Lonchura striata: one gene and its partners. The protein of the gene in region 1 purifies or fractionates together with the protein of each later gene. This does not show direct contact. Links are inferred from orthologs where the notes say so. Each region holds a gene or a part of one and is shown on either strand. Other genes may lie near its edges. The genes, in order: SRC, PXN, CDC37 and MET.

Evidence for each region.
Region 2: the proteins of SRC (region 1) and PXN purify together in Homo sapiens (co-immunoprecipitation; 4 studies listed by BioGRID and IntAct, with this or other methods). This does not show direct contact. The link is inferred for Lonchura striata from reciprocal best matches to the Homo sapiens genes SRC and PXN.
Region 3: the proteins of SRC (region 1) and CDC37 purify together in Homo sapiens (affinity purification with mass spectrometry; 3 studies listed by BioGRID and IntAct, with this or other methods). This does not show direct contact. The link is inferred for Lonchura striata from reciprocal best matches to the Homo sapiens genes SRC and CDC37.
Region 4: the proteins of SRC (region 1) and MET purify together in Homo sapiens (co-immunoprecipitation; 4 studies listed by BioGRID and IntAct, with this or other methods). This does not show direct contact. The link is inferred for Lonchura striata from reciprocal best matches to the Homo sapiens genes SRC and MET.

What each region holds. Positions count from the first base shown.
Region 1 is NC_134619.1:9,505,573-9,512,975, reverse strand, and holds the start of SRC (proto-oncogene tyrosine-protein kinase Src), read left to right. Parts: upstream 1-4,386; 5' UTR 4,387-4,463; intron 4,464-7,403. UniProt on the Homo sapiens protein: Non-receptor protein tyrosine kinase which is activated following engagement of many different classes of cellular receptors including immune response receptors, integrins and other adhesion receptors, receptor protein tyrosine kinases, G protein-coupled receptors as well as cytokine receptors.
Region 2 is NC_134620.1:4,910,713-4,918,147, forward strand, and holds the start of PXN (paxillin), read left to right. Parts: upstream 1-4,432; 5' UTR 4,433-4,530; coding exon 4,531-4,543; intron 4,544-7,435. UniProt on the Homo sapiens protein: Cytoskeletal protein involved in actin-membrane attachment at sites of cell adhesion to the extracellular matrix (focal adhesion). Recruits other proteins such as TRIM15 to focal adhesion.
Region 3 is NC_134623.1:1,357,860-1,364,972, forward strand, and holds the start of CDC37 (hsp90 co-chaperone Cdc37), read left to right. Parts: upstream 1-4,108; 5' UTR 4,109-4,176; coding exon 4,177-4,278; intron 4,279-5,546; coding exon 5,547-5,828; intron 5,829-5,923; coding exon 5,924-6,029; intron 6,030-6,318; coding exon 6,319-6,434; intron 6,435-6,888; coding exon 6,889-7,011; intron 7,012-7,113. UniProt on the Homo sapiens protein: Co-chaperone that binds to numerous kinases and promotes their interaction with the Hsp90 complex, resulting in stabilization and promotion of their activity. Inhibits HSP90AA1 ATPase activity.
Region 4 is NC_134607.1:34,614,234-34,622,102, reverse strand, and holds the start of MET (hepatocyte growth factor receptor), read left to right. Parts: upstream 1-4,851; 5' UTR 4,852-4,953; intron 4,954-5,131; exon of another isoform or gene 5,132-5,201; intron 5,202-5,536; exon of another isoform or gene 5,537-5,738; intron 5,739-7,869. UniProt on the Homo sapiens protein: Receptor tyrosine kinase that transduces signals from the extracellular matrix into the cytoplasm by binding to hepatocyte growth factor/HGF ligand. Regulates many physiological processes including proliferation, scattering, morphogenesis and survival.

The DNA of each region.
Region 1 (7,403 bases):
CGCCCATCCCTCGCTCCAAGGACCAAGACTGGATGATTAAGGGGAAACACCCTGGTGTCTGCTCCTGCTCTGCCTGCTCAGGCTGCAGGCAGGCCAGCAAGCAGCCGGGTGCTGGCAGGGAGGGAACATCCCAGCCCTGGGGCAGGGTCTCCTGGAGGTGGCTACCAGAGCTCTGCACCAACCAGCTGTCCCCTATTGCTCTGCTACCAAATCAAGCCAGAAGCAGGGCAATAAATCTCGTCTGCATGAGCTTCCCTGAGTTTTTCTGAATTGCCCTTGTCTATGGATACTAGACTGGCCAAAAAGCAGAATTTCCATGCTGGGAGATGCCAACATCTTGTGTGTGGCTTTCATGCTGAGCTGAGGCAAGAAGCAAAACGAGTCAGATTTTTGCCCAAACGAGCTTTTCCAAGATACTTAATTCAGATTGTACCAAAGCATATTTTATCAGTCATAAACCTGACAGGAAATGTTGTGCCTTTATTGACCATGCAGATAATTTCAGCCCACAGCTGTTGAACTCAGTGCCTCCTTATTAAATATTTGCATGTCACCGAGTCAGTGGTTTCCCCTGCAGCCCTTTCCCCCAGGGAATTTTGCAATGACACTTCCTGACAGGAGCTAAGGGCCCCTTTTGCATAGCAGATTGTCACCACGATGGGGGACACAACAGGTCCTGAGTCCTCCTGGTAATTTCTTCTCAGATAAACCTTTTTCCTATAACCTGCAAGATGCTGCTCGGCTCCTGCAGCTCTGATGCTCAGTGTGGGAGAGAATGGCCAAAATGAGCATTTCTAGCATGAAATATTGCCAAATGGCTCGTGCTGCAGGGTTATTCTGGTCAATCCCCCTTACTAAATCAGCTCCTGAGCTTGAAACTGCAGCTTCCCTAACAGGGCTGATGGTGCTGATCATTTCCCATCTCACACCACTATTTGCAGGGCTGTAAAGCTCAATGATCATAAAATCTCAGGGCAAGAGCCACGGCTGCCTCTCTCTCAGGCCAGCATCTCAAACACAACCATTACATTACTAATAGTAATAATTCCTGCAACTGTATTTGCAATTTGCAGTGAACAAAGTGCAGCCTCAGGAACAGAATCCAATAGACAAAACTTATTCACGCGTGCCAAGGGGATGCTTAAAAATAAAGCTGGCTGGAGATGAATAGATGTTTTGTTGTAAATCTGCAGTTACGTTAGGGAGCTCAGGGCTCAGATCAAATACTGGACACAACGAGCACCCTCTTACCTCACAGGAGGATTTTAGGAGCCCTGTGGAGCAGTTTGATCTGCACACCTGGAAGGGAAGGAGCCACGTACTTACTTACTTACTCATGAGCATGACAGCATCTGCCCACAGTAACTCTCATTCTTCTTGTTGCTGATGAAACTCGTGTAAAGGTCAGCAAGAAAACACAGAAATACCTGAGCATGTCTTAATTTCTTTTTCAAGTATCATTTCAAGACGTCCTGTAATAATCGAGCCACTGGAAATACTTGGTGCTACTTTTTGTTCAGATTGAAAGTACCTGGTTTTCAGTTTCTATAACCCGCTTCCTCTCTCTGGGGTGGGTTTTATCAGCGCTATTTAAAAGTGAAGAATCATATCAAGAAAATAAGTTTCGGACAAGAGACTGAAATCCCTGGTTGGGTGAAAAAAGCATCAATTTGCATTAGACTGCTTAAAGATAAGTATTTGGAGAGAGGCAGGAGGCAAAGGGAAGTGGGTGGCCAGGGGATATCAGGCTCCAGACCTCATGTCCGAGCCAGGAGTGTCCTGAGGTGAGCTGTGTTGCTTAAATGGTCTTAAATCACACTATCACCAGCAATTCGTGTTTAATGTCAGCCTTGTGAGGGCACATTCCAGCATTTGAGACCAAAAGATAAGAGTCTGGGTTTAGACAGTGTCTGTTTGTAATTTTGGATTTTCACATTGGCATCATCTTAGAGGAAGAAGAAGAGGTTGTGTCGTGGACTTGGTCTGGCTGTTGAAAGGCACAGCGCTGTGGGTGTTTGCCTTCCAGCCATGGGCCGGCACCGCCAGAGATGGGAACTCCGATTGGGAGGACAGCCTGGAGAAAAGAAGTTGATTGCAAAAGAGAAAAACAAAATACAAATATTTATAAGTCACAATTGCATCTTAGATTTGGGTCTGGATCCAGCAGAGGCTGAGTCATCCTCACCGGCTCGCCCGGGGCTGGAGCACCCGCGGGGTGCTCTCCCCTCCGGCAGAGCTCCGGGCTGGAGTGGGTGCTCCTGCCGTGGGGAGGGACAGGGGAGTGTCCCCGTGTCCCTGTGCGGCGCAGCAGGGTGAAGGTGACCCCCTCTTTCCCCCACGTTACAAGCAGAGCAGTTCCCTGACTGCCCCACAGCACGGGGTGAATCCATCGCAGAGCGGATGAGGAATCCTCCCCTCCACAGCTGAACAGCAGAGGGGCTGGGCTGAGAATTAACACCCCCGAGCCCCGGAACCAAGCGGGCTGCGGTGGGATGCTCCGGCACGGAGCAGGCAGGGCTGCCACCCCCCCGGAGCACACACGCCACGGGTGTCCGGGGAGCCCGGGCGGCCTCGCCCAGCCCTGGGACGGAGCCGAGAGGGAAAGCGGCTCCTGCCCGGCTGGAGGGACCTTATCGGCGCCAGCTCCTCCCAGGGAAGGGCCCCTCGCAATGCGCTGGCCACGGGTGATGGATCGGCGCGTGCATGACTCCTTGTTCCTGGTGACTCATGGATTCGCTGGCCTTCGCCAGTGTCATGGGAAATATTTTTTTAATAACTCAAAAGGCGGAGGGGGAGTGGGAAACAGAAATTTAAAAAAAAAAAAAACATCACCACCATAGTTCTTTAAAAGTTTTTAACTTCCCAATTTGTTTCTGAAATGTCGGATCTTCCTCAGAGGAAGGAGGGTTTTCAGAAAACCCCCGCGGAGTGGCTGCAGGGTTGGTCGGAGGGGTGGGCAAGGATGGCAGAGGTGGTGCTGGCTGTGGAAATACAAGGGTCGCTGCAGCCGGCCAGCAGCCGAGCGTGCCGCATAAAAGACCTAAATGTATGTGGGTTTAAGGAGTGGACTGCTTCACCCCCTTTCTTCCTGGAGGGTAACGTGACAGGGAACACTTCAATGGATCGCCGGTGGCTGAGGTGGGAGGGCTGCCAGCGCCGCTGAGCTGGTCGGGCAGCCCCGACGGGCTGGGTGCAGGCATCGGGGCACCCGGCTGAGCCCTGAGCCCGTGTGTGCACCCCGGAGACAGGGCAAAGCTGGGCATTTCCCACCTCCTGCTGCTGAGGAGCAAGGGGAACGACGGGTGGAACTGTTCCCGCGTGCCCACCTGCCTGAGTGGAACTCGGGGACACACACACCTGAGGGGGTGATGCTGCCAGCTGGAGAGTGCCCTCCCCAGGAACACCCGCAGCTCCGTTCTGCCTTGTTTTGGATCCGGCACCGGCTTCAGGGGCGACCGGGGCTGGGAGATGTTAACCCCTAAACCCATGGACGCCCCAGCGGAGCACAGACACCGCTGCGTGCCCGTGCTGCCTCCAAAGGGCCCCACAAAGTTCCCCGGGTTCCCAGGGAGGCCCAGGACGTGGTTTATCTTTGCCCGCTTTTCCATCTGAAGTTTTGCCTCCTTCCGACTTCAGAGAAGGGGGAACGTGGGTTGCAGCCCTCTGGGAAGCCGAGGTGTCCCTCCTGGGGATGGGGAGGAACACAACCTGACAAAACAGCATTTCCCCTGCAATTCGCCGTGTGTTAGAGCTGTTGAATAAAGCGAACCGCAACCCAGCCAGGAGGTTTCAGCCTCCTGAAAATCACTTTTGTGTTACCAGCTCCTGCTTCCAGGTAACACGCCGAGCCAGCCCGCCGGGACGAGCAGCGCTGGGCTCGGGTGGGAGCACCCCCAGCCCCTCACCCGCGGGGGGACGCGCCCTGAGGACCGCGGCCGCCGCTCCCACGCGTGTCCCCGGCGCAGCCAGGCGGTTCCCCCGCCGCGGGCCGGGACGCGCCGGCAGCGCCGGCGGCGGGGGCGGCCCCTGGCCCGTGCGCGCCCCGCGGAGCCCGGCTGCCCGGAGCCTTCTCCCTGGAAAAAAAAAAAAGCCACGGAGGGAGGGGAGGGGCTGCTGCTGCCTTTCCCCCCATCCTCCGTTTCCGGTTTGCTGCCATATTACTCTTTTATTTTTTTTATTTTTTTTTTATTTTCCCCTCCCCGTGGTGCTGCCCCCCGCCCCGCAGACGGGGTGAGCGGGGGCGGGCGAGGCACCAGCGCGCCGGGGCCGCGGCGCTGCGCGATGCTGCTGCCGGCGGCGCAGCGCTGAGCCCGGCCCGGCGCGGGGCGGCGCGGGCACCGAGCGCGGCGGCGGCGGCGGCGGCGGCGGCGGGGGGCGGCGGCCGCGCCCCCGGCGCGGAGACAAAGCCGGGGCCGAGCGCTGGAGGCGAGCGGCGGGGCGGCCCCGTCCGCGGCCAGGCGGAGGTGAGCGGCGGCGGGGCTGCCCAGCTCGGGGGCAGGCGGCGGGGTCCGGCGGGGGGTGCCTGGGTCCGGCCGTGGATCCGGCGGGGGATGCCCAGGGTCTGCCCGTGGATGTCCGCAGTGGGGAGCGGCGGGGCGGCGGGGCGATGCCCGCAATGGGATGCCCGCAGAGCAGTCCGGCGGGTCGGCGGGGAATTGCCCGCGGTGGCGCGGCTGTGGGTCCGATCGGGGATGCTGGCACTTCGGCAAGGAGGCGGTGGGTCCAGCCGAGCCTGCCCAGGCTGCCGTGGGGCAGCTGTGGGTCCGGCAGCGTGGGATACGCTGCCTGCGGATCCCCGCAAGGATGCTGGCGGTCTGGCGCCGGGTGTCAGTGGGGCGGCTGTGGGTCCAGCGGGATGCACATGGTGTGGTGGGTCAGCCGTGGGTCCGGCTGGGGGTGGCACTGCCTGGCGGGGCAGAGCTGGGGGCGCGGGGGTCCGGCGGGGCGGCCCCGCCTGCCTGCAACTCCCCTTTGTTGTGCTCGGGGGCTGTGGGGGACCCCCGGGAGCGCAGGGCGGGGACAGCTGGGCTGTATGTAGGCCAGGACATGAAATATTCATCGCCCCCCTGCTTTGATGTCTCGTGATCCGCTTCCCTTGTTGTGTTTGTTCACCGGTGATTCTGGGGCCAGTGTCCAGCCCTGGTGGACCTGGCAAGTCGTGCCCCTCCTGTGCCCCTCGCTGTGCCCCTCGCTGTGCCCCTCCTGTGCCCGCCTGGCTCAGTTGCTGGGGGGCTGCAGAGCTCTGGTTTCTCCGATTTAAGACTTCATCCAGTCGGGAAGTTCCTCGTTGCAGCCTGGGCAATCCGGCCCCCATGCGTGGCTGCAAGTGGTGGCAGTGGTGTGTTCCCACTGTCACAGCCCCCAGTGCCATGGAAGAGCACCGTGGGCTTTGCCCTGAGCCACACTGGGGTCAGGATGAGGTTTTATCCTGCTCACTGCCCAGAGAGGCTGTGCTGCATCCTGGGGCCACTTGGGATGGACACAGGAGGCAACCTGCAGGGATGGAACTGCTGCACAGGGCTATGTGCACGGGGACAGGTGTGGTAGGGGGCTGGCATCTTGTGGCACTGATCCTGGCATGGTCCTCTCTGGTGTCGGGCATCATGTCAGGGAGCAGAGCAGTCTCGTGTGAGACCTGCTGGACTGAGTGGGGATCTGCTCCACCTCCCTGTGCCCTGCACAGTGCACTCTCCTCTGGCATTTCCTCACCCCAGTGGCTGCTGTGGTGTGCCAGGGCTCAGCCCTGGACTTGGTGCCAGGAGGTGACTGTGGTCCTGGTCCCAGTCCCAGAGATGTTGAGCAGCAGTAAAGGTTGTAGGTGGCAGGGAGCAGGTTGTGCTTCCCTGTGTGTGCCATGGCCCATCCTCTGGCTCCCCAGAAGTGACGCAATGGAAGGGACATGATGTGACATGCAGCCAGGTGTCCCACAAGACAGGGGCATTAGGAGCTGGGGGCAGTGGAGGGTGCAGAGCACAGGGTTCCCTGAGGTGAGCTCCTGCCTGTGCAGCACAGAACATATCCAGCAGTGCTCTATGAAACTGCATGAAGGCAGTAACAAAAGACTTGATTTTTCTTTCTCCTGCCCATCTGGTGCTCCCAGAGGAGGAGGTGCTGGGGGTCTTTGTTGCTCTCCTCTCAGCCAAGGAGATACCCACTGCCAGCATGACCAGTGCAAGAACCGAGTCGTGACGAACCTTCCCAAGATCCAGCCATTAGTGATGGGAATCCTTTTGTCCCTGCTAGACTTGGAGATGCCCCTCAGAATCCAGTGGCTCAATGTGAGCCCAGGTCCCCCGTGCAGCAAGTGTTGGTCAGACAGTCACAGGGCTGCCCAGGAAGGTGTGAGGAAGGGGATATGGAGGATGACATCAGCAATATTGCACTTTAAAGAAATATCCTTTCTGTTATTTTTACTGTTGGGCTGCTCTAGACACCTTTGCCATAGAGCTTACCTGTGCTAAGCCATCAGCTTCAGCTGGCTCCAGATCCACCCAGAGCAAAACCGTGGCACTCGGTGTCTGAGCCGAGGCTTGTGTGCTGTGTCTCTGTAATCATTAGCCAGTTAATGCTGATATATCACGAAGGAACACCTTTGCTTAGGAGACGAGGGTCAATTCTCACTTCCAAGCTTTGACCTGGGAGCAGCAGGGCAGGGGCTCCTCTAAACACCTCCTGGCTTCACCAAAACAGCCCAAGACAGGATTATTTATGGGCTACACAGCAGCAGCAGCAAAGGGAAGTCCAATGTTCCCTGTCTCGATCGTTAGTGGCCTTGCAGTGCTCCCTGTGTGATGGAGATGCCCTAATGATAGCTCTGCCCTTTAATGACTTTGTGCCAGAGTGATGGAAAATCAGGGAGGTTCCGAGGGGAGGCAGAAAGGGCCATCCCAGCCCCTGGCTGGGGAGCAGGGGATGAGACGAGGAGAACGCTGCGGTGACCAACCAGTGTGGTGGCTCTGCTGCAAAGACAAGAGGGTCCTCTTCTGTCTTGGTGGCATGGAGGGGACATCAGCTATCCTGAGACAAGGTTGGCCTTTAGCAGCACGGGCAGGTCCTGCAAACCAGCATCATTTCACTGGACTCACTGAGGCAAGCAGGGGATGGACCATGGGACTCTCACGTCTTCAAAATCCCATCTGTCTCTCCCTGTTACTGGTGTGGGATCCTGCCCGGCCTTTGAAGTCATCACAGAGCTAAACTCTTATCTAATGAGACCTGAAGGACTTGGTCTCCAGCCTCTCATTTAAACAACCAGCAAACGCCTGTAAGATCTTGAAAGAGAAGAGGTAGGAGCAAGCAAACAGCTTGCACCTCCTCCCAGCATGTCTAAGCAGGGCATCCCTGGGACAAAGCACTGGACTCCTGGCACGGCTGTGGGAAATTGGAAAGCCTATCTGAAGTGC
Region 2 (7,435 bases), on another chromosome or scaffold:
CGGGCGGGGGGCACAGCTGGGAGCGTGCAGGCGGGAGCGAGCTGAGCGGGGGGACTCGCCGTGAGGCTGGCGGTGGCCCCGGGGCGAGTGCTGGCAGCGGCGGGTAAACCCGGTCAGCTTTGCGCAGTGGCAGTATCGTAGCCAATGAGGTTAATCCGAGGCGCGATTATTGCTAATTGAAAACTTTTCCCAATACCCCGCCATGACGACTTGAAATATAGTCGGCATTGGCAATTTTTGACAGTCTCTACGGAGACTGAATACTCTGGTGAAAAATAGACTAAGACTAGCTCCGGTGATTGTATTGTGCTGCGTGGTCTTTACCTGGCGGCGGGAGGGGGCTCTCACGGAAGGTAATACGGCTTCTCTTCTTTCAGCGCTGCCAGGGCTTGCTGCCGCTAAGACCGCGGTTTAATAAAATGAGGGCGCTCCTACGTTGAAAGCTCCTTTCTTTTTTTCTCAGTTACTGAAAAAGGAATCGGTCAGTGAAAACGGAAGTGGAGTGGCTTAGGTGTTGTAGAAAGATTTCTGGAGTAGCTCTTGCTGAGGAGAATCCTTAGGAGATTAGCCTCTCAACAGGCAGAGAGGAATCTAGGGGGAGTGAAAGTCTGAATCGTGCTTCCCCAACTGCAGGAGTCCTCTAAAACCCATTAGAGAACACTTAGTGTACTAAGTACTGTAAACTCCATTTTGTGTGCAGTTCTTTATTGACATCACTTGCTTTAAGAAAAAAAAATGCAATAGAAAAATGCTCCTTATTGTCAAAAAAATCACAAACCTTTGCTCTGGAAAAAGCAGCTGCTGGTGTCAACTCCTATTATATAAGTAAACTGCATCCTTTCCTAATTTGCAGCAATTGAATAGCTAGGCAGACCCTACGGAGGGAGACTAATGACCACTGCACACTGGCCCCGCTGAGGCTCCGCTGCAGCTGGGAGCAGCTGCTCTCCGTCACTCTGTGTGAGTGAGATGTACCTCCTGGTGCTGACAGCTTGCCTCTGACATTCTCTGTATGGGCACAGAACCAGATCCACGTGTGCCATCCCGATGCTCCTACCCTGCCGGTTAGACCTTGAGCTGGGCAGCTGCTTGAAACTTCGGTAGAACAGAAAGCTTAGTAGTGAACATCAGTCTCTTAAGAATTACTATTATTTTTTAAAATAACATTCAGTCATGCTGGGGTATTATACACAACAGTGACCAAGAGTGACAGTGAAACCTCACAGATTGCCTTTGTCCCCCCCATTTGTTCCTATTGCCAGAAATATCAATTGAAATCAAACTCTGAAGCACAGGGATGCCATTACCCTTTGGCAGAATAAGCCACACTGGTAAATAGCAAAGGCATATGTAGTTTGCAGTGAGTCATACACTTCAGGTAATTTCTTGATTCTTATGAACTGTATTGATAAGTATTGGATTTATCACTTGATTGTTTCTCATCTTTGCTGCCAGAATTGTCTGTGGTAATGCCTTGGTGTGGTGCTTTCAATCTGCATTGCAAAGTCACGTCCTACATCTTATGCCAGAAACCAAGCTTGTTCATTTTGCTGTAGCAGATCCTTTCAACAAACATGAAGTTGAACCTCGAATGTGGGAGTTGCATGCTGTGATTTACTGCTATTGCCTGAAGCCCAAAGCTCTGATTGAAAATTTTTTCCTTGCATTCACCTGAAGAAAGAGCAAAATCCCCTTGCATGATGTTCATGTGGCACAGCACAGAGGGCACACACTGCAATGAAGGCACTGTCATTGCTCTGCAGTTTCAAGCCACTCTCTGGAAAGTGCACAGGTAAGTTCTAAACATGCCTCACAGGCCAGTGTAGCTTTATTTCTCTTCTCTGACACAGATTGAAAATAACAATGCTTTTCTTCGCTGGTATTATGAAATGAGCTTGGATCACTCCTGTTTGGCAGCCAGTCTGAAATGACAGGGCCCAGGAGGACAGTTAATCCATCAACTCTGAGGGTCTTGTGTGTGGTCAGTGGGTTAAGCTGCCCTTTGAGGGACTTGGTCTGTAACTGGTAAATGACTCTTCAACAAGAGGGAAAGATGCCTTGAGCAAGTACTCTGGACACAGATTGTGTGGAGTTAGGAATACTCTGAACATGGATTGTGTGGAGACAGGAAGCCCTAAAGTTCAACATTTTGTTGATGTTAACTCACTGTCTAACTTCATTTCCAGTTCCCAGCCCTGTTTCCCATCTGCAAATGGGGGTGGTAACTTCTTGTTACACCTTATGTGAAAGACAAGGGTAGATCAAAATGTCTCAGCTACGGGGCACAGCATAAGAAGAAGGCCTGTGTATTTCTAGTAGCAAGCAGGTGTCCGTGAGTCAGGGAGAGTCTGAGCCAAAGAACAGGTAGATGATGGGGAAACAGGAGTTCAAGGCTTTGGGAAGGACAGAGCTTGAGCCCACAACACTGACAAGTCGCCTTGGCAGCTGGGGTTTTAACCTGCCCCTGCTCCCCCAGCTCTCATGGGAGGGTTAGGGACTGGCAATTTTAAGTAAGAAATATCAATGTGTGAATAATTCAGTTATAAACAGCACCTGGCTGTGAGCAGCTTGCTTTTAAAAGCAGGCTGTCTAGAGGATAGTATCACTCATGGGACAGCCCTGCCTTCCCACCCCACCAACACTTTCAGTGCAGTGCAGAAGCCATAGGCAAAGCTTTAGAAACAATTACTTTTTTTTTTTTTTTTTTTTTTTTTTTAACACTGACCATCTTAGACACAACCATTTCTTGTGGGAGCAACCCTAACTGGTTCTGTGACAACTTAATTCCAGCCCTGAGACACAATAGAAACTGCTTTCTTGATTTACATTCACTTTCAGACTCCCAAAGGACACAGTAGGAAGCTGAAAATAAAAATGGCATACCAGGCTACAATATGAACAGAGCACAGTAGGCACTTTATTTATGCAGAGGTAAAAATACAACCCAACTTGTGGCACATGCTTGTCACATGTTGGTGGAGGAAACATACAGACCCCAGGAAAGGACTCGTTTCTAATGACTTTACATCTGCTCTGTGACCAGTCAGCGCTAGTGGTTCATGTTGCTCCACCTGGGGATGCACATCCTGATGTTGTCATTGTATAGCCAGTGATGGATTTTGAGAAAATTTTAACAGTCCCTCCAAATAATGTTTTACATTTTGCTGAGGGAGACCAGCAAGGGGGATGTCAGGTGAAATCTTTGGCATGGATAGTGAAGCATGCAATGAAATCTTTACTTACATTTGTGTTGTACTTAGATCTCAGTAAGGACATTATTTTCTGACAACTGTATTTGGAGTAAAAGCTGGAATTAATTTCTTGGAGGTTTTTGACTATTCATAAGCATTGGCTGGGATGAGGGAGGAGATATTTCCCTGCCCCCCTAACGATAATTCCCATTAAAGCATGACTTAACACAGGAAATAATGATGTCTGACTTGTGCTAGCAGGGGAAACTGGGCATGTTTGTACCTAGAGAGTGAAAAATGCAGCACTGGAGATTGCTCACAGCTGACCTCACGGTCTCTGTTTAATGGAAATACAATTCTGTAATCTCAGCTCAACAACAGGACATGTGCTGTTCAGTTCTGGGAACATTCTCTGACTCGGTAGTAATTTTGTAAGGAAAAGAGCTACAAGAGTCATGTTTCCTGGATCCTCGGCAGTTCCCACACTGATATTTTTTGGTGTATCTCTCATCAGATTAAGAAGTGGACATTTGGGCTGAGCAACTGCATTTACTGCCATGTCAACTTGGCTGGAGCACTGTGGGAAACAGTAGCTCTGGTGAGGGTTGAGCTGTGCTGTGGCTCAGACAAAGCGAGGACTTTGCTGCCTTGGAGTTGTTTTATAGAGGCTTGAAAGGAAAAACACGTGGGAAATGATGGTTCAAGGTCACCACATGAGAAATCCAGGAGGGCTCTTATAGTCTTTGAACACAGCAAAAGAGAAGTAGCTGGTGACTTTCCTTTATGGTGGCCACAGCGTATGGAAAATTGCTCAGGAAAGGTTTCTGCTGCCCAGCTTCCCTGGGATGGGGTAATTCAGCTGAGGCTCTGAAATGTTTGAAGGTTTTGGGGCACAACTCTCCCGCACCACCCAGCCAGCCCAGCGCGGCTGCATCGCTGCCCCGGGACATTCCTCTGGGGAAGGTCCTGCTCCTGCAGGGAGCAGCGCGGGGCTCGTGTGGCGTTCGCGCTCAGTCTCGGACGCGCGTGGGGCCGCCGGCGAGCGGGGCAGGCCTCTCCGGGGCAGGCCTCTCCGGGGCACACGCCGGGCGGCGGCTCCGGGCGCTGCCGCCCCGCCCGGCGCTTCGCGGGGCCCCGACCCCGCGCCCGCTCCGCGCCCGGGCCGGCGGCTCCCGCGGCGGCCGGCAGGGGGCGGCGCGCAGCGCGCGCAGCGGGGGCGCGCGGGCGGGCGCGCGCGGGGGCGGGCCGGGAAAGTTGCGGGCTCTGAGGCGGCGGCGGCACCGCGGGGCGGGAGCGGCTCCGGCGCGGCGGCAGCGGCGGCACCGGGCACGACGGCACCATGGACGACTTGGGTGAGTTCCGAGCCGCGCGGGCTCCCCCGCGGCGGGGGCCGCCTCCCCGCCGCGCCCCGGGCGGCGGCGGCCGCGGCCCGCCGGCCACGCTGCGCCCCTCGGCGCCGCGGGGCTCGGGCCGCGCCTGTCGGCGTCCGGGGACGTGTCGCTCCCCGCGCAGCGCGCCGGCCGGCCCGGCTCCCCGCGCCCGGGCCCCGCGGCTGGGCTGTCCCGGGGCCGCCGCAGCCAGGGCAGGCGGTGGCTGTCCCGGCCGGGAAGGGCGCCCGGCGCTCCTGTGCCCGGAGCAGCGTGGGGCGTACTCGGGTTTCAGCAAACATCTCCTCCCTGCCCCGCCGCAGCCTCTCCAGCCTGTTCTTGGGCGAGATCTGAACTTTGCGCGGGTATGGAGTGGGGAGCCCTGCGGGGATAAGCGGAGCCCAGCCGCGCTTGGAGCTCATCCTCGTCCTCCCTCTGCTTCTCCCAGGTGTGCTGCATTATACGGTTTCCCGAAACCATGTAATGGAGAAATGTCAGGCAACTGGTCTCAAGGGAAGGATCTAGAGAATTTGAGTCCTTTGGGACCAAGCCGGAAAGGGTGTGGATCTGCCAAAATCCCTTGTGCTCTGGGAGGCATTAGGACGACTGAGTTCCGCTTATGAAACCGATTAAATCAGACACTGGGGAGGGGCTGTGATCCGTTACTTCCATCCTACCTTTAATAGAAACCAGACGTTCTGTTGACATATAGTCCCAAGAAAATTGCAGGTTTATTTCTGGACCTGGAAGCTCATACTACGGTGATGGCATAAAGCTGGTGGTCACACCTTCAGAAAATAGACTTTGAATTGGGCTAATGATAAAACTTAGAGGGTAAGGAGTCCATCTGCTGCGTGGCTTTCTGGTGAAAGGTGTGCCCATGGAGGATTCATCCTTGGGGAGTGAGACCTTCTGCTTGAGTGAAGTAGCTCTTGGTGGGAACAGAAGTAATTTCTACTGCAGCTTCTTTTCATGGTTATTGTTCAAGTGGAGACAGCTCTGTTTACCTTTTCTCATATCCCTCATTCTGGTTATCTCTTGGAGATTTGGTGCGAGTTCCTAGCATGTTCAGGAATGCATTGCTAGTCAGAACAGGATTCACCCAGTCTGTGTATTGACTTGATGGGTAGCCCTTCAAGGTGAGCATACAGGTCAGTGTAGAGCCAGTTTAGTGTCTCACCATCAGTAAACCATGGGAGCCTCACTGTGCCCACTGCAAGAGCTGCATTCCTAAACGTGGTAGTGTGACTTTCCAGCTGTTGGAATAGGCTGCTGCAGTCCCTTAACATTTTTTCTTTCATCTGTAGGAGAATTAGAGGTGAACTGCTAAGAAATTGTGAAAAAGATCTGAAATTGTGCCTGGTTTGTTTTTCTGAGCTCTGAAGAGTATTTGGACAACCAAAAGTTAGACCTTCTAATCTGAGCAACTTGATTTCATCAAGTCTTAATTACACTGCGTCTGTCTCAATTTTTGTGCAGCCTTTCAGACTGGACAAGATCTAATTAACAGTAGGCAGCTGAACAAAAAAGTGTGACCTTTTCTCTCTCTAAGCTTTTCTGTGGTGTACAGAATTCACCATGGAAAAGCACACCAGCTGTTTTTCCTCTGCAAATCATTGTTAGCCCCAAAATGGCTCACTTACTGCTCTAAAGTCATTCACCTTGGGATCACACATAATGGAACTGTGCTGTGCTGATACAACTCCCCTGAAATAAGTCAGACTTTCGAACTCAAGTGAGAGTTGTTTGTTTTTCTTTCCTCATTATCTATGGGTGGATTATCTGAGTTGTGGATTAACTGTGCCATGGATACAGACGTCTGCACTGGCCCTGTCCAGAGTCAAGCTGGTTAGGCAGGACTTGTTGGTTCAGGCACACTGCCATGTGGGCAAAGCTGCTCTGCTTCCAGGGACAGTTTTGGCCCAAAAGGAGTTTGATATTGAACTGGGACTTGTAGGTGCAGAGTTGATGTCAAGTTAAATCAGCTCAGATACTTCCATACCTCGCTTCTGAATCTGTGTGGCACAGAAATGAGCAGTGAGTGAAGGGCCTTGCTGGGCATGAGTGAACCCCTAACAGAGACCATTGGTGTGTCTGTTCTTAACTCCTTGCTGTTGTCAAAAATCTCCTTCTTTTTCCTAGAGCTGGAGGATTTGATCAGTCTGTACATGTCCAATGTAAAATGGAGGTCCAGAAGTATCTCAGTTTTGTTCTTGGACTGGAGAGTTTATGAAACATATGAAAATGGATTTGTCTTGCTTTGAGGATTCATTTGGAGTTGAGAAAAATCTTTGTTCCCTTTTTACCCCCTCCCCCAGTGTTGAAGAAGCTCCCACAGGAAACTTTCTGCAGGCTGGAGCTGTGCACCCTGTTGTTCTGGAGGAGCCTCTGTGGCACAGGACACACAGTGCTGGGCTGGATGTAAACTAGAACAGCCCGTGGTGGGAAGGGGGAGGAGAGCAGCTGGCCAGGCTTGTCCAGATCGTCTCCCTGCAGCCTCTCTGAGGAAGCACATTTTGCGGATGTGCTTGGAGTTTGACAGGAAGTTTGCTGAATGAATTTGCTGTCCTGCAGTGCTGTAAATTGGCACAGCTTTGTCCTAAAGAGTGAGAACCCAGATTTGGGGCTCTTGTCCCTTTCAGGGGATTGCCAAAGCACAGCCTGTGCTTCCAGCACACAAGTGATCATCCACACATACTTGCTTCAGACAAGCTGAGGCACTGAGATGTTGGGTTACTGGTTTGGTGGTGCTACCTTGTCTAAGTAGTATGAAGGAACAGATCCATTAGGATTTGCTTGTTGCAGAGGAAGAAACCTAATTTGTGTAAACTGTTATGTATTTATGGTGACAGGAGTAGGAGAAGAGAAACTTTAAAT
Region 3 (7,113 bases), on another chromosome or scaffold:
CCCTTAATTTTCTGGGGGAGGGGGAGGAATTTTTGGGGAGAAAGAACAAAAAATAAGGATTTACCACGTGTTTAATTAGACCTGTTACCCGTTATCAGGTAAGGAGGAGCGTGACTGACGCAGGGAGCGGCGACTCCTCGGGAGCCGCTGACCCAAATCCATCTATTTTTATAGCAGAATATTAAAAATATCCCCCAAAATCCCCCAAATCGCCGTTCCAGAGAGGGTGAGAACCTGTTTTGTGCTCCCCGAGTTCCTTGGAAGCAGCTTGTGAACCCCAAGAGGGATCAAGGCAAGTTCTGGGGGGTCAGTGGCACTGAAATTCCAGGGATTCCTCTGGTACCCCCAAATCTGGGAGGGAGAGGATGTGTCTTGTCACACTTCCCCCCTCTCCCTTCCCAAATTCTCCAAAATGGGCAATTTTTGCCCCAAATTACTCCACTTTCTGGAGTTTGGCCACTTGGAGCCTCCTGTCCAAAAAAAGGGCGGAACCCCACCTCAAAAGCCCCGACCCTGAGTTCCCCCATACTCCTTTATCGTCATTATTATTCTTAATTATTCTTAATTATTATTCTTATTAATTATTATTGATGTTATTATTATTATTATTGCGATTCTTATTTATTTTCCCTTCGCTGTCGGGATAATTTCTCACTTTTCAGTGGTTTATTTCCCATTTATTTCCTATTCTTCCCTGTTTTTTCCCCTGATCCTGGTACTCCCCGGGACCCTCTTTTTTCCCCCCAGACCCCTCCCCCAATCCCATCCCAGCTCCTGGTTTTTTTGTGTCGTGCCTGTGTGAAGCTTCTTGTAGTTTTAATTATTATTAATATAAATATTTAGGAGCGACCCCCGTGTCCAGATCCGCCATCACACCCCCCACCCCCCCAAACTCTGACCCCCACCCCCTCTCCCAGGGATCCAGCCCTGGAATTTGGGGAGGGGGCCAGGGGACCCCCAGTTCAGTAGCAATAAGGGGTCCCCACCTCAGCCCCGGCCCATTTTTGGGGGGCCCAACGTGGGGACAAAAGGTGCCCACCCTGGTGGCACTGCGGGACCCCTCGGAGGGGACCGGGACCCCCCCGGCCCCCACCCCTGGACTCGACTCTTTGTATTTTTCATGGGAAAAAAAAAAATCAATTAAAAAATTTAAAAGGCAGAATTTGTACGTGATTTTTGCAGGGAGGGTGCGTCCGTCCGGGACTGGATGGCTGAGGGACTCTCGGCCATTTCCCTCACGCTTCCAGCTCTTTTCCCCTCATATTTCCTGCCCTTTTCCCCTCACATTTCCCTCTCTTTCCACCCTCACATTTCCCGCCCTTTTCCCCTCACATTTTCTGCCCTTTTCCCCTCACATTTCCTACCTTCTTCCCCTCACATTTCCTTCTCCTTTCCCATCACATTTCCCACCCATTTTCCCCTCACCTTTCCTGCTTTTTTTCTCCTCATGTTTCCTATCCTTTTCCCCCTCACATTTCCCACCTTTTCCCCCCTCACATTTCCCTCTCTTTTCCTCTCACCTTTCCTGCCCTTTCCACCCCCACATTTCTCACCTTTCCCCCTCACATTTCCCACCTTTCTCCCCTCACATTTTCTGCCATTTTCCCTTCACGTTTCCCTCCCTTTTCCCTCACATTTCCCTCTCTTTTCCCCTCACATTTCCCTATTTTCCCCTCACCTCTCCTGCCCTTTTCCCCCTCACATTTCCTTCTCCTTTCCCATCACATTTCCCACCCATTTTCCTCTCACCTTTCCTGCATTTTTTCCCCTCAAGTTTCCTGCCCTTTTCCCCCCTCACATTTTCTGCCCTTTTCCCCTCACATTTCCTACCTTCTTCCCCTCACATTTCCTTCTCCTTTCCCATCACATTTCCCACCCATTTTCCCCTCACCTTTCCTGCTTTTTTTCTCCTCACGTTTCCTATCCTTTTCCCCCTCACATTTCCCACCTTTTCCCCCCTCACATTTCCCTCTCTTTTCCTCTCACCTTTCCTGCCCTTTCCACCCCCACATTTCTCACCTTTCCCCCTCACATTTCCCACCTTTCTCCCCTCACATTTTCTGCCATTTTCCCTTCACGTTTCCCTCCCTTTTCCCTCACATTTCCCTCTCTTTTCCCCTCACATTTCCCTATTTTCCCCTCACCTCTCCTGCCCTTTTCCCCCTCACATTTCCTTCTCCTTTCCCATCACATTTCCCACCCATTTTCCTCTCACCTTTCCTGCATTTTTTCCCCTCAAGTTTCCTGCCCTTTTCCCCCCTCACATTTCCCACCTTTTTCCCCTCGCATTTCTCACCTTTCCCCCTCACATTTCCTGTCTTTTTTCCCCCTCACATTTTCTGCCTTTTTTCTCCTCACGTTTCCCACTCTTTCCCCCTTCACATTTCCCACCCTTTCCCCTCACATTTCCCACCTTTTTCCCCCTCATATTTCCCTCTCTTTCCCCCTCACATTTCCCACCTTTCCCCCCTCACATTTCCCACCTTTTCCCCTCACATTTTCCACCCATTTTCCCCTTTCATTTCCTGCCTATTTTCCCCTCACATTTCTCACATTTCCCCCTCACATTTCCTGCCTTTTTTTCTCCTCATGTTTCCCACCCTTTCCCCCTCATGTTTCCCTCTCTTTTCCCCCTCATCTTTCCTGCCCTTTTCCCCTCACATTTCCCCTCACATTTCCTACCTTCTTCCCCTCATATTTCCTTCTCCTTTCCCATCACATTTCCCACCCATTTTCCCCTCACCTTTCCTGCATTTTTTCCCCTCATGTTTCCTGCCCTTTTCCCCCCTCACATTTCCCACCTTTCCCCCTCACATTTCTCACCTTTACCCCTCACATTTCCCGTCCTTTTCCCCCTCACATTTTCCACCCATTTTCCCCTCATCTTTCTCACCTTTCCCCCTCACCTTTCTCACCTTTTCCCCTCACATTTCCCCTCTCATTTCCTGCCTTTTCCCCCTCACATTTCCCACGTTTTCCCCTCACATTTCCTGCCCTTTTCCCCTCCTGTTCTCCCCTTTTTCCCCTCCTAAGTAACCCCTCTAATTAAACCCTTTTAACCAATGAAAAAAAGGTTTTGCTCCCTCAGTTTAAACCTCAAAAATGGAAAAAGGCATTCCCTCTATGTTTAGACCCCTAAAATGGTGGATAAAGGGGGTCTCCTCCCAAAATAAGACATAAAAATGGTGAAAAGGGTGGAGTTTCCCTCAATTTAAACCCTTAAAATGTTGGATCCTGCCTCAATTTAAATTTTTAATGGAATTCCTACTCAATTTAACCCCACAAGAGGCCTCCTCCTCCCTTTACTGGTTTTCCTTCAAGAAACACAAGTTTTGGGGCTTTTTGACACCATTTTCCCTGTAAAATCCCTTAAAATCGAGGGGCCCTGTTGATGGAACTCTTAAAACGTCCCATAAATAATCTCCTTTCAATTTAAACCCTTAAAAACGATGGAAAACAGAGATTCCTCTTCAATTTAACTATTTATGGAATTAAAAATTTGGATTTATCCTCAGCTAAATCCCTATATAATAGAAAGTAGTCATTCCCAGTCAATTAAACCTCATCAAATCATGGAAGAGGAAGGCTTTTCCTTCAATTTAAACCCTTAAAAACGATGAAAAACACAGATTCTTCCTCAATTTAACTATTTGAGTAATTAAAAATTTGGGTTCATCCTCAACTAAATCCCTAAAATAATAGAAAGTAGGGATTCCTAGTTAACTAAACCTCTTCAAATCACTGAAGAGGCAGGATTTTCTTTCAATTTAAACGCTTAAAAACGATGGAAAGCACAGATCCCTCCTCAATTTAAGTATTTAAGGAATTAATAAATAGGATTTATCGTCAACTAAATCCTAAAATAATAGAAAGTAGGGGTTCCTAGTTAACTAAACCTTTTCAAATCAGGATTTTCCTTCAACTTAAACCCTTAAAATAGTTTGAAAGACTTTATTCATTCTATTGACTCCTTTACACCCGCAGGTAAAAACCATGGCGCATGCCTGTGTGTGTGTGTGTGGGGGGGTGTGCTCGTGTCTCTTTAAATCCGCCGCCATCTTTGAAGAGGGCGCGGCTTGGCGCGGGCGGCGAGCGAGGCCGGGCGCGGCGCCGGAAGTGCGTCAGGCGCGGGCGGAAGCGGGCGGGGGCCGGAGGGAAGGTGGCGGCGGCCGCGCCATGGTGGATTACAGCGTGTGGGACCACATCGAGGTCTCGGACGACGAGGACGAGACTCACCCCAACATCGACACCGCCAGTCTCTTCCGATGGCGCCACCAGGTGCGGCTCGGCCCGGCCCGCGGCGCTCTGCCCCCAAGCCCCGGGCCTGGCGCGCCCAGGGAGGCCCGGTTCCCATGGCGACCGGAATTCCCGGGATTCCCGGAGGGACGGGGGAGGCACGGGCTGGGGATCTGTTGTTCGTGGGAGCCCGGGGGTGTGGGGGGCTCTCCGTGTTCCCGCAGGACGGGGAATGGGGGGGGGTGTTGTTCTTTTCCAGCTCCAGGGGCTCCCGTGGGGCGGGGGCTCCCCGCATTCCCGTGGGATCATCCCTGGAGCCCCCGCGGGGAGCTCCGCCATCCCAGCACGGCCCGGTTCCCGTTCCCCATCCCGGCCCGGTTCCCGTTCCCGGTGCCTCATCCCATCCCAGCCCGTTCCCGGTTCTCTATCCCAGCACGGCCCGGTTCCCGTTCCCCATCCCGGCACGGCCCGGTTCCCGTTCCCGGTGCCTCATCCCATCCCAGCCCGTTCCCGGTTCTCTATCCCAGCACGGCCCAGTTCCCGTTCCCCATCCCGGCACGGCCCGGTTCCTATTCCTGGTGCCCCATCCCATTCCCCATTCCCGATGTCCCATCCCAGCCCGTTCCCCATTCCCAGTGCCCCATCCCATTCCCGGTTCCCCATTCCCAGTGCCCCATCCCATTCCCTGTTTCCCGTTCCCGGTGCCCCATCCCATCCCACTCCCCATCCCATCCCATTCCCCCATTCCCCATCCCATCCCATTCCCGGTTCCCCATTCCCAGTGCCCCATCCCATTCCCTGTTTCCCGTTCCCGGTGCCCCATCCCATCCCACTCCCCATCCCATCCCATTCCCCATTCCCGATGTCCCATCCCAGCCCGTTCCCCATTCCCAGTGCCCCATCCCATTCCCGGTTCCCCATTCCCAGTGCCCCATCCCATCCCACTCCCCATCCCATTCCATTCCCCATTCCCCATCCCATTCCCGGTTCCCGCTGCCCCCGGCATCTCCCGCTCCATCCCTGCCGTGCCCAGGGGCTGCTCCTTCCCTCGGGAATCACCTCAGGGTGAGGGGGGGGTCCCAGCCCCCCAAAATCCCCCTGCGTGTCCCAGGATGGGGCAGCGACCCCTCCGAGGGCTCACACCCAGCTTTGGGCCGTGGGAATCGCCAGAATTCCAGATCCTCCCCAATTCCCTACGGAAAAGCTGCAGCTCCCTGGGGTGGATTTGGGGGTTCAGCCCCTCCTGAACCCCCCAAAACCCCCCCAAAACCCGGGAGCGAGGCGCCCCAGCTCCTTCCCTGCCGCCCCAGGCCCGCGTGGAGCGCATGGAGCAGTTCCAGAAGGAGAAGGAGGAGCTGGATAAAGGCTGCCGCGAGTGCAAGCGCAAGCTGGCCGAGTGCCAGAGGAAGCTGAAGGAGCTGGAAGTCGCCGAGCCGGAGAGTGGGAAAGGGGAGCTGGAGAAGCTCCAGGCCGAGGCCCAGCAGCTGAGGAACGAGGAGAAAAGTTGGGAGAACAAGCTGGAGGAGCTGAGGAAGAAGGAGAAGAACATGCCCTGGAACGTGGACACGCTCAGCAAGGATGGCTTCAGCAAGGTGCGGGTTTTTTGGGGAGAAAACCCCCCAAAAAAAGCACCCCCAGCGTGTCCTAAATCCCCCAAGTCATTCCCTGCCTTCCTTGGCATTCCCAGAGTGTTTTCAACGTGAAGGCCGAGGAGAAGGAGGAGACGGAGGAGCAGAAGGAGAAGAAACACAAAACCTTCGTGGAGCGATACGAGAAGCAGATTAAACACTTTGGTGAGGGGGTTTGGGGGGCTTTAGGGAGCTGGGGGACGCTTTTTGGGGTTCTCCAAGCTTGGGAACACCCCCCGTGGTGGGACCAACCCAGAATCCTCTCGCTGCGCTGAAAAATTGAGGATTTTGTGTGCTTTTTCCCATTTTTTTCCCCCCGCTGAAGCACAGTTTGGGGGGAATTGGGTTAAATTTCACGATGAGGTGCTCGCCCTCCTGGCCAGCCTCATCCAGGCGGAGTTTGGGGTTTGTTCCCCGGCTGAGGAGGGGGAATTCTCCTGGTTCCCGGTGGCAGGGATGCTGAGGCGCTGGGACGACAGCCAGAAGTACCTGTCGGACAACCCTCACCTGGTGTGCGAGGAGACAGCCAACTACCTGGTCATCTGGTGCATCGACCTGGAGGTGGAGGAGGTGAGCAGTCAGGCTGAAATTGGGGTAAAAATCCTAAAATCCCCAACTTTTGCAAGCTGGAGCTGCCTTGTTCTCATCTCTCCGGATTTCTTCCCGTTTTTCCTGCCAAAAAAAACCCGAGAGGATTGAGGACTTACAAGGCAGGAGAGGTGGGAAAAGATCCTTAAAATCATCCTGTAGAAGCACCCACCTTTCCTTGGGAGAGAGGTTGACACCTCTCCTGCAGCTCCAGGGTTTTTCTGGGATGAGGAGCCCACAAAATCAGGGAATTTGGGATTAATTTGGGATCAAACAGCTCCTAAAGAGCATCGAACCTAACCCAGTCTCATCCTCAATCCAACTTGGGATTCCCTGACCCAAATCGCCTCCTCCTCACCCAAAAAGGGGTTTGGCCGAGTGGGGAATGGGGATTTTGGGAGATCTTGGGGGGATTTTGACCCCGTTTTCCCCCCAGAAACACGCGCTGATGGAGCAGGTGGCCCACCAGACCATCGTCATGCAGTTCATCCTGGAGCTGGCCAAGAGCCTCAAGGTGGATCCCAGGGCTTGCTTCCGGCAGTTTTTCACCAAAATTAAGGTAAAAATCCCCCCTGGACTCCCCAAAATCCCTCCCTGAGGCCGTGTGCACCCCAATTTCCACAGGTGTAGCCTCAAATTCTTTCCTTTTCCCAAAATCCCT
Region 4 (7,869 bases), on another chromosome or scaffold:
GTTTATGCTGAGCTATGCTAGAAAAGTTCTCTACAGCATGTTCTGGAAAGCCTTTGCTGCTGCAGTGTGAGCTCAGTGAATGCACCAAGGGCTACTGCACTTCCATCATTTTCAGGGACATGAACACAAAGACTGTTCAGCTTTCCATGCCTGAAATGATTTCTTGGGTTTGTATGTTCAGAGGTACTCATTCAGGGGTTTAATGCATTTCAAAATCACTAGGAAAGAAGGCAAGGTTCAGGTGGGGAGCAGTGAGAATCACACCATCTCTTCCTCTGCCTTCTGGAGGCTGAGGTGCTCCCTCCAGTTAAGCTGATGTAATGTTGTGCTGCCATGAGCCCACCCTCCTCCTGGATTTCTGACCTTGTCCTTTTGCAGCACTAGCACTCACATTACTGCATAGCAGATGGATTTGAAGAGCTAATCTATCTGTAAACTAATCTATGTTCTTTTGACTGATTAATTTTTGCTGGATTCCCGAACTTCATGTACCAGTTTCCCATGTGATCACCAAGGCTTTGGGACTGGCACAAAAAGGACACAGAGCCATGGCAATCCAGACTTCAGATGCAATAGCCCCATAAACATTTTCCTCCATTTTCAAGAATTATACTTGAAGCATTCACCATTTGGATTTTAGAATGGCCCAGTTGTGGTGTTTTTTTACAAGCAGAAAGACAAACAAGGAGGAAAATTTTATCAAGTTAAACAGAAAAACTTCCCTTTGCTCAAAAGTCACCTATAATCCACAGTGCAATATGTGGAAGCACCCTCGGTTATGATCTGTGTTTCTATACAAATGGAGAACTGTCTAGGGTAGCTTAGTGGTTAGAGATTAGAACTTCTAACTGCAGGCTTCTATTCCTGGCTTTGCAAGGGACTTTTGCAACCACCAGTCACAGGCTGAAATTTCTTCCAGTGACATTGTTGACCCTCTTACAAACAAACAGAAAGTACTTATTTAGTTATCAGAAGCTATGGGTTTAGTTAATAAATGGCTAGACAATAAATGCCATAAAATGCAGTGATGATCAAATCTTTGGAATCTAGAGATCTAAGTAGTAATTGTGATATTTAGCTCAGTTTCCAGAGAGGCAAACAACACCATGGGCATTTTTTCTCCAAAGCCCAACCCCCAGTCAACACTGTGTCCCTTCCCACTGTGTGCTTTTTGAGCCCAGGAAAGACAGTGAAAGACAGATTGTGTCAGAGTGACTTGAAGGGACAAAGTAGTCACAGGAAAATGTGCCTCAGGCACAGCCCCTTCCCTGAGCTGCCCCTGGCATTTGCAGCCAGGCTGCCTTCCAGTGAATAAGGGTCTACAGGAAATACAGCTACACATTACCCCAGCAGTCTGTCACACTATAATTTTCCCCTTGGATCACTGGTATGTCAGGCAGTTGAGCTGGGTGGGTTCACCTAAGGCTCTTATTTTGTTTATCAACCTCCAGAGATACTCAGACTCAGCTATTCTGAGTCCCTGTTGCAGGGTTCTGCAACAGGAAGGTACCTGATATCCACCGCTGTGAAGCTCAGCTCTAGAGATCTTTGTCTTGTGTGTTCTTAAGCATTAAATTAATTCCTTTCCGCTGTCTTGCTCCTTCTGAAATCATTTACTCATGAGTAAGCTCCACTAAGTCAGAAGTCTCTGGAGCTTCACAATGACATTTGCATTTTATATTTGCTCCCAAAGGTGTGAATGACTGCAGCAGAGGACAAAGAGTAAATCCTCTGATGCTACCATATAGCTGTGGTGCCATGTAGTAGAGTGTGGTTCTGCAGCAATGCACAGTAGATTTATGTTTGATTCTGCACTTCTAGAAAATGTGGTTAGATCCAGATTTGCAGAGGTATTTAAATATATATTTTTTCTTACTGAAATTAGGTATAAATTGGATACATAATTCTATAAACGTCATTTTGCTACTTGTAGTTATGATAAATAATTTCTCAGGTTCTGAACAGAAGTCACAATGAAACCCATAAAACTGAAGTGGACACATTAGTGTGTTGAGATGCACTACTGCCAATGTACAGAAATCATCCTGTGTTTTCATTCCTCATGTTTACACTTGAAAGTTTAAGTTCAACATAGCCTTGCAATTCATTTTCTAACTCTATTTCTGTATTCTTGGAAATGTGATAGGGTTTGCTCACCAGCTTCCTATCTCAAAACACATCAGGGCTGGAAAGGATGTGCCAATATACTCCCCAGTGTGTTCCAGTTCTCTTACTGAGCAGATCACCCTCATAGACTCTCCTTCACACTTTTGAATTGTTTTTTCCAGTGTCGTCAGCTTTTTAAAATGTGTCACGCCATCTTATGCCAGACTGAAGAGGACCAGCTCCTTTTGGACAGGGAAGAGAGATTAGGAAAACCTATAAAGAGACCAGGATGATGACTAAGAAAGTCAGTTTCTTTTTCACCCATAACTGCACCTTAAAGCTACTTCAAGCCTCTGAGAAGTTGTTCATGGTGTACACATGGTGCAAGCATGATGAAAGGAGTATCAGATGATTATCAAAGCCTCAGTGCAGTGTAACTGTCTCATAAAACTAACCTAAAATAACATGGCATCAGCATGGTCAAAATGGAAAGGAAACATCTGTTTCTCCTTTTTATGTTAGTGACAATCCATTTGTTAGTTTTAGAATAGCACAGACTGTCCCACTGATAACAGCCTGGGCGCTGGCTGCTCAGCCCAGGCAGGTGCACAGTGAACTCAGGAGCAGGCTAACAACAGATAATATGAGGGGCTGTCCTTAGAATGAGCTCTGGATTTAAATATTTTTCTTTATCACTTTATTTCAAAACCCTTAAGGAAGATTCTTCCAAGTCTGGTGTGGCTGTACTGGTGCACCGTACAGTAGTAGTGCACAGCACAGTCAGCAGTGACTGACTGATCACTAATTGAAGCCCAGCAAGCAGCACAGTCTAATTGTAGCCTTGCTTTTCCCTGGGCGGGGGTGGGGGGCATCCACACTGTCTTATTTTTCCTAACTATTGCTGAATATTAATTGAAATAAAGGTTATTGAAGTAAATTGACAGATTTCCAGACACTTGAAAGAAATGAGATTACATCAGTCATGAAGTTTAACAGAGACAAGTGCCGAATTCAGCACCTGGAATGGGACAACACTGGATGTATGGATAGACTGGGGAACAAGAAGTTGGAGACTATCACTGTGGAAAGGGAGCCAGGATTCCTGGTTGATGGCAAACTGAATTTGAGTCAGCAGTGCCCTGGCAGCCAAAAAGACTAACCATGTCCTGGAGGGCATCAGGCATCACTAACTGGCAAGGGAGGGGATTATCCTGCTCTGCTCTGCACTGGGGCAGCCTCACCTTGAGTGCTGGGGGCAGTTTTGGGCACCACAATATAAGGAAAATATAAAGCTCCTAGAGAGCATCCAAAGGAGGGCAATGAAGATGGTGAAGGGCCTTGAGGAGAAGCCATATGAGGAGTGGCTGAGGTCACTTTGTCTGAAGAAGAGACTGAAGGGAGACCTCATTGCAGTTACAACTTCCTCTGAAGGGGAAGCTGGGGGGCAGGCTGCCCTCAATCATGCATCTGTTTTTGCACAGAACTGGCTTATAGCTAGGTTTGATGTCTTTATCACTAGTGCTGGCAAGTCCAAAGGAAAGAGGAGACAGATAAATTGTGAAAGACTAGCAGAAGACTAGCAGAAAGGTGGCTAACTGCTTTTTTAAAACATTTTGTTCTGTTGTACAGCTTTGTACACATCCTGGTGACATCCAAGGCCTAAAACAAATACATACAATATTTAATTTTCCTTACAGAATGTTTTGATGTAAGATCTGACATTTTTCCCATGGTTAATCATGAAACTGGGCAGTGCTTCTTACAGTTCCTTGTACTTCACTCATGAAAAACGTTCATCGGTTTAAATGGTATGATTAAGGGCAGCAGAGTTGGGGCCAAAAAAGGAAGCAAGCAAAGGGAAAATAGATGTCTCCAGTAACTTCTATTGGAATATGGAGCCTTTCACTTAAAATCTGGTTTAAATCAGTAGCTGCTGAAACTCGTTACCAGAAAAAAAGATGGATCTTTGCTGCATGCCCCAGTGTTGAGACTTGCAGTCTCTCGGCAGCTCCACAAGTGTACATTGCACAGGCAGTATTGCTGAGTGACTCAGTTTCTCAGCACCTCTGAAAGATGAAGTCATCATCTGCTTTGCAAACCTTGTGAGGGAAAAACCCCAACCTGTGCAGTTTACTACCCTGTAGGAAGCACATATGGGGGAAGACAGCTACTTGATAGTCTATATAAACTGAGGTCATTTGTTTGAATTACATGTGGATAGACATTTAAAGCACAGTCAGCACTGACACCATGATAGTGCAATATGGGCTAAATTTGTTCACTACTACACAGCCTAGGGGGGGTCTCAGGACAAACCTAGGGGTGCCCATATCTTGACCTCTCAGGGTTAGGCTTTAGCATCAGTCAGGCACTGACACCTGATGATGGGTGCCCTGCGGCTGGGAGTGAGGAGGGAGGCTGTGCCTGCACACCACTGGTACTCACTTGGCCTGAAAACGCCGAGGTGCAGAAGGTCCACCAAGGGTCCCCTCCTGGCTTTCCCCATCTGGGGAGCGACATCCATCCCTCCTACCCCTGGGCTGGGGGCCTGGCCGGGAGGGACGAGGGGCAGAAAGGAGGGGAGGGGGAGCGAGAGAAGGAGGCCCCCCTCCCTCCTTCCCCCCACCGCGCACCCGGGCTCCTGCGATGTGGTGAGTCACAGGCAGGTCAGGACCGCGCCGGAGGGGCGGAGGGAGCGCGGGGACCGGCTGATTTACCGCTGGGAGCCGCCACCAGCGCGGCGGAGGCGCCTGAGGGAAGGGCGCGGAGAGCCGCCCCGCAGCCCAGGTGCCGTGCGGGAGGAGGGACGCCCGTGCCCGCCGGGGCGCGCAGCCCCTGCCGCCCCAGGTAGGGACAGCAGCGCGGGGCTGGGGCTGGGGCTGGGCCGGGGGCAGCCTGAGCCCGCGGGGCGGAGGGAGCGGCGGAGCGGCGCGGGGCCGCGGAGGTGCGCCGGGCTGCGCCCCGCTCCGCCCCGCCCGAGCCGGGCCGGGCCGGGCCGGGACCGCGGAGCCAGCCCAGCCCAGCCCAGCCCAGCCTGCCGGGGCGCAGCGCTCGCCCCTCCGGCGGCGTGCCGGCGCGCAGCCCGCTCCGCTCCGGTAAGGACCGGCACCCGTGGGGGGACGCGGGGAGCGAGATGAGCCGGGGAAGGAGGAGGGCGGGCAGCGGCTCGGTGCTGGCCGTGCCCCGCCCGGGAACTTCGCGGGAGCGCGGCAGCCGCCGCTGCTCTGCCGGGGCGGGCCGGGCGCGGCGGGGCCAGGTGACAGCGGTGCGGGGCTGCCGGCCGGCCCCGGCCCCGGCCGGGCTCCGCAGGGCGCCGGCGCCCGCGTACCCGCGAAGCCGAGACGGGGTAGGGCAGGGCGGGCAGCGCTCCCCGGGATGCTGCCGGCAGCGCCCCTTGGCCGCAGCCCGAGCCGCTGCCCCTCCCGCCCCTTCCCGCTCTGCGGGCGCGGCAGGAGCGCGCCGCGGGGCAGTGTCCGGCAGTGCAGCCTGGAAGTTCCAACTTGGAGACGGTGGCTCCGCGTTTGTGGTGGCCGGTCCGACCGCCTTCCGCGAGGCGCAGGGTGAGCCTGCGGGATTCCCCAAGTTGGGGATGTGTACTTTATGGTTTCGCTGCGTTCACAGTTTTCCTTACGGTATGGCCTTTTCTGTTGTTATTGTTAGGGTTTTTGTTGGGTTTTTTTTTGTTTTTTTGGTTTTTTTTGGTGGTTTTTTTTTTTTGGTTTTTTTTTTTTTTTAATTCAATTTTTAAAAGCAGAATTTGCTTCGAACGGTAAACAAATCGCAAAGAGCTCATATAATGGCATTCCACCACTGTTTCTATGTCAGCATTAAATTATGTGGTCTTAGGCTTTATAAAACTGAATGCACTCCTTAGAAATTGGAAGTTTTGCACATACATCAATAGGCATTAATAATCTAATACCAGTGTTGTTTAACAACCTGTGCGTTTGTAACCTGTAGGAGGTTTATTCAAGCGGCAGTGCATGCTTTTCTCGAAGAACCTATGCCCTGTGTGATAGTTCATTTGCTTTCATCCCACAGGTGCTTTTTTCATTGTCCAGCAGCAAAAAGAGGATGGTGTCTCTTTTTTGTTGTCTTTTTATTTTAGATCTGAGAGGTTTGGATTCATAATCAAGCAAGGGTCTCACATGTTTCTCAGAGAGCTGGTTAAATGTTTACAGATCATACACTGTGAGAGCAAAAAGCTAGCCTTTGGCAGGAGCTGCATGTTGAAAACAAAGTAACTTGCAGAATGACTGTATCGCTTGTTCTTTGTGCCATAATCCTTCTTCAGCACTGTATGATTCTTTTTCTGTCTTCTAATACAAACTGAATCATTTGGAAACTGGGATATTTTGTAAAACATTCATCTCATTATTTGGAGAAGAGAGAGTCAACTTCTGTGCCTTTTTGGTGGAGAGGGAATGAATTGTCTTTATTTTCCTCTAAGGATTTTCTCCTTTTTTCTCTTTTTTTTTTCCCCCCAATGTTTTCTTCTTTTTTTTCCCCTCTTTTTTCTTATTCTTTTTCTTTTTTTCTTTCAACTTTTTTTTTTTTTTTTTTTTTTTTTTTTTTTTTTTTTTTTTTTTTTCCTTCAGAGGTTAACCACTGCATAGCAGTTCTTTATTGGTAAGCTAAAGTGCACATATTGTGGCTGGAGAGGGGTTCATAGATGTGTTATTTGCTCAAGTGTAGATGACAGTGCAGCCATAGATGGATGGGAGCTCACTGAGTCAGAGCAAGGCTGCCAGAATGCCAAAATTCAGTAGAGGTTCAATGAAAAGCTCATGAAAGCAAAACTAAGTAGCAAGTATTGTCTTCCCAGTACTGCCTGTCCCATCCTGATTCTCCTGCTCTAATGGTTTTCTAGTACCTCAGCTGATGACCTGTAACCTCTTCTTGCTTGTCCAATGCAATCAAACCCGCCTACTCTTATTCTTCTATGATCTGCAAATATCTGCTCTGTATTTTTCAACTCAGAGGAGAGATTCAAAGTCTGCTGCCTCCCAAATCTGGCTTCCAGAGCTCGAGAGAATAACTGGCACAGCTGGCTGCAGTGTAAGAGCAGCAGTCTTGCCTTCACAGCCACAAAGGGAACCTGATGCCGGCAGCATGCTGTGCTGGGGTAGCCAGAGAGGCAGAGCTGCAGCGGTGGGAGTCACAGAGCACTGGGTGATCTGCTTTGTGCCATGATTGCTTTGTGGTGGGCATGTGTCTAGACTTTATTTGCTTCAGGCAGAAAGCAAGGAGAGGTCCTCCATCTCCATCTGTGTTTGTGAAATATTTAGTGTAAGGGAAATCCTGCTTGGGCTCTTTCAGCACTATACATCATTTCTTGAACAAGAAAGGGATAGGGTAGTTGAACAGCATTCTCTGAAACTACAGAAACACAAAATTCAGTAGTGGGTTACAAGGATCTGTTTGGTGCAAAGCAGAAGGAATGCATGCAGTGCATGACACTTCAAACACACCTTGCTAAGATTTTGGGTGGCAACACCACCTTTGTGGTGGGTTCATGTGAAAACCTTATGTCCAGGATTTCTACCTTCCTGTTGCTACCTTACTGTCTGTCCTTTGAGCTGGTGGCACAACTTCATGTTTCATTAGGCTGTTACCCTCAGATGAACCATCAACCTGTGCATCTTGTCTGCTGTGGCCATAGTTAGTGATTTTGCTTCCTATGCAAAGGTTGTGTTTGGTAATTAAACCTGTGCAATGCACCACTGGTGGTCATGCCACATTGCCTCAAGCAGCATGCCATCA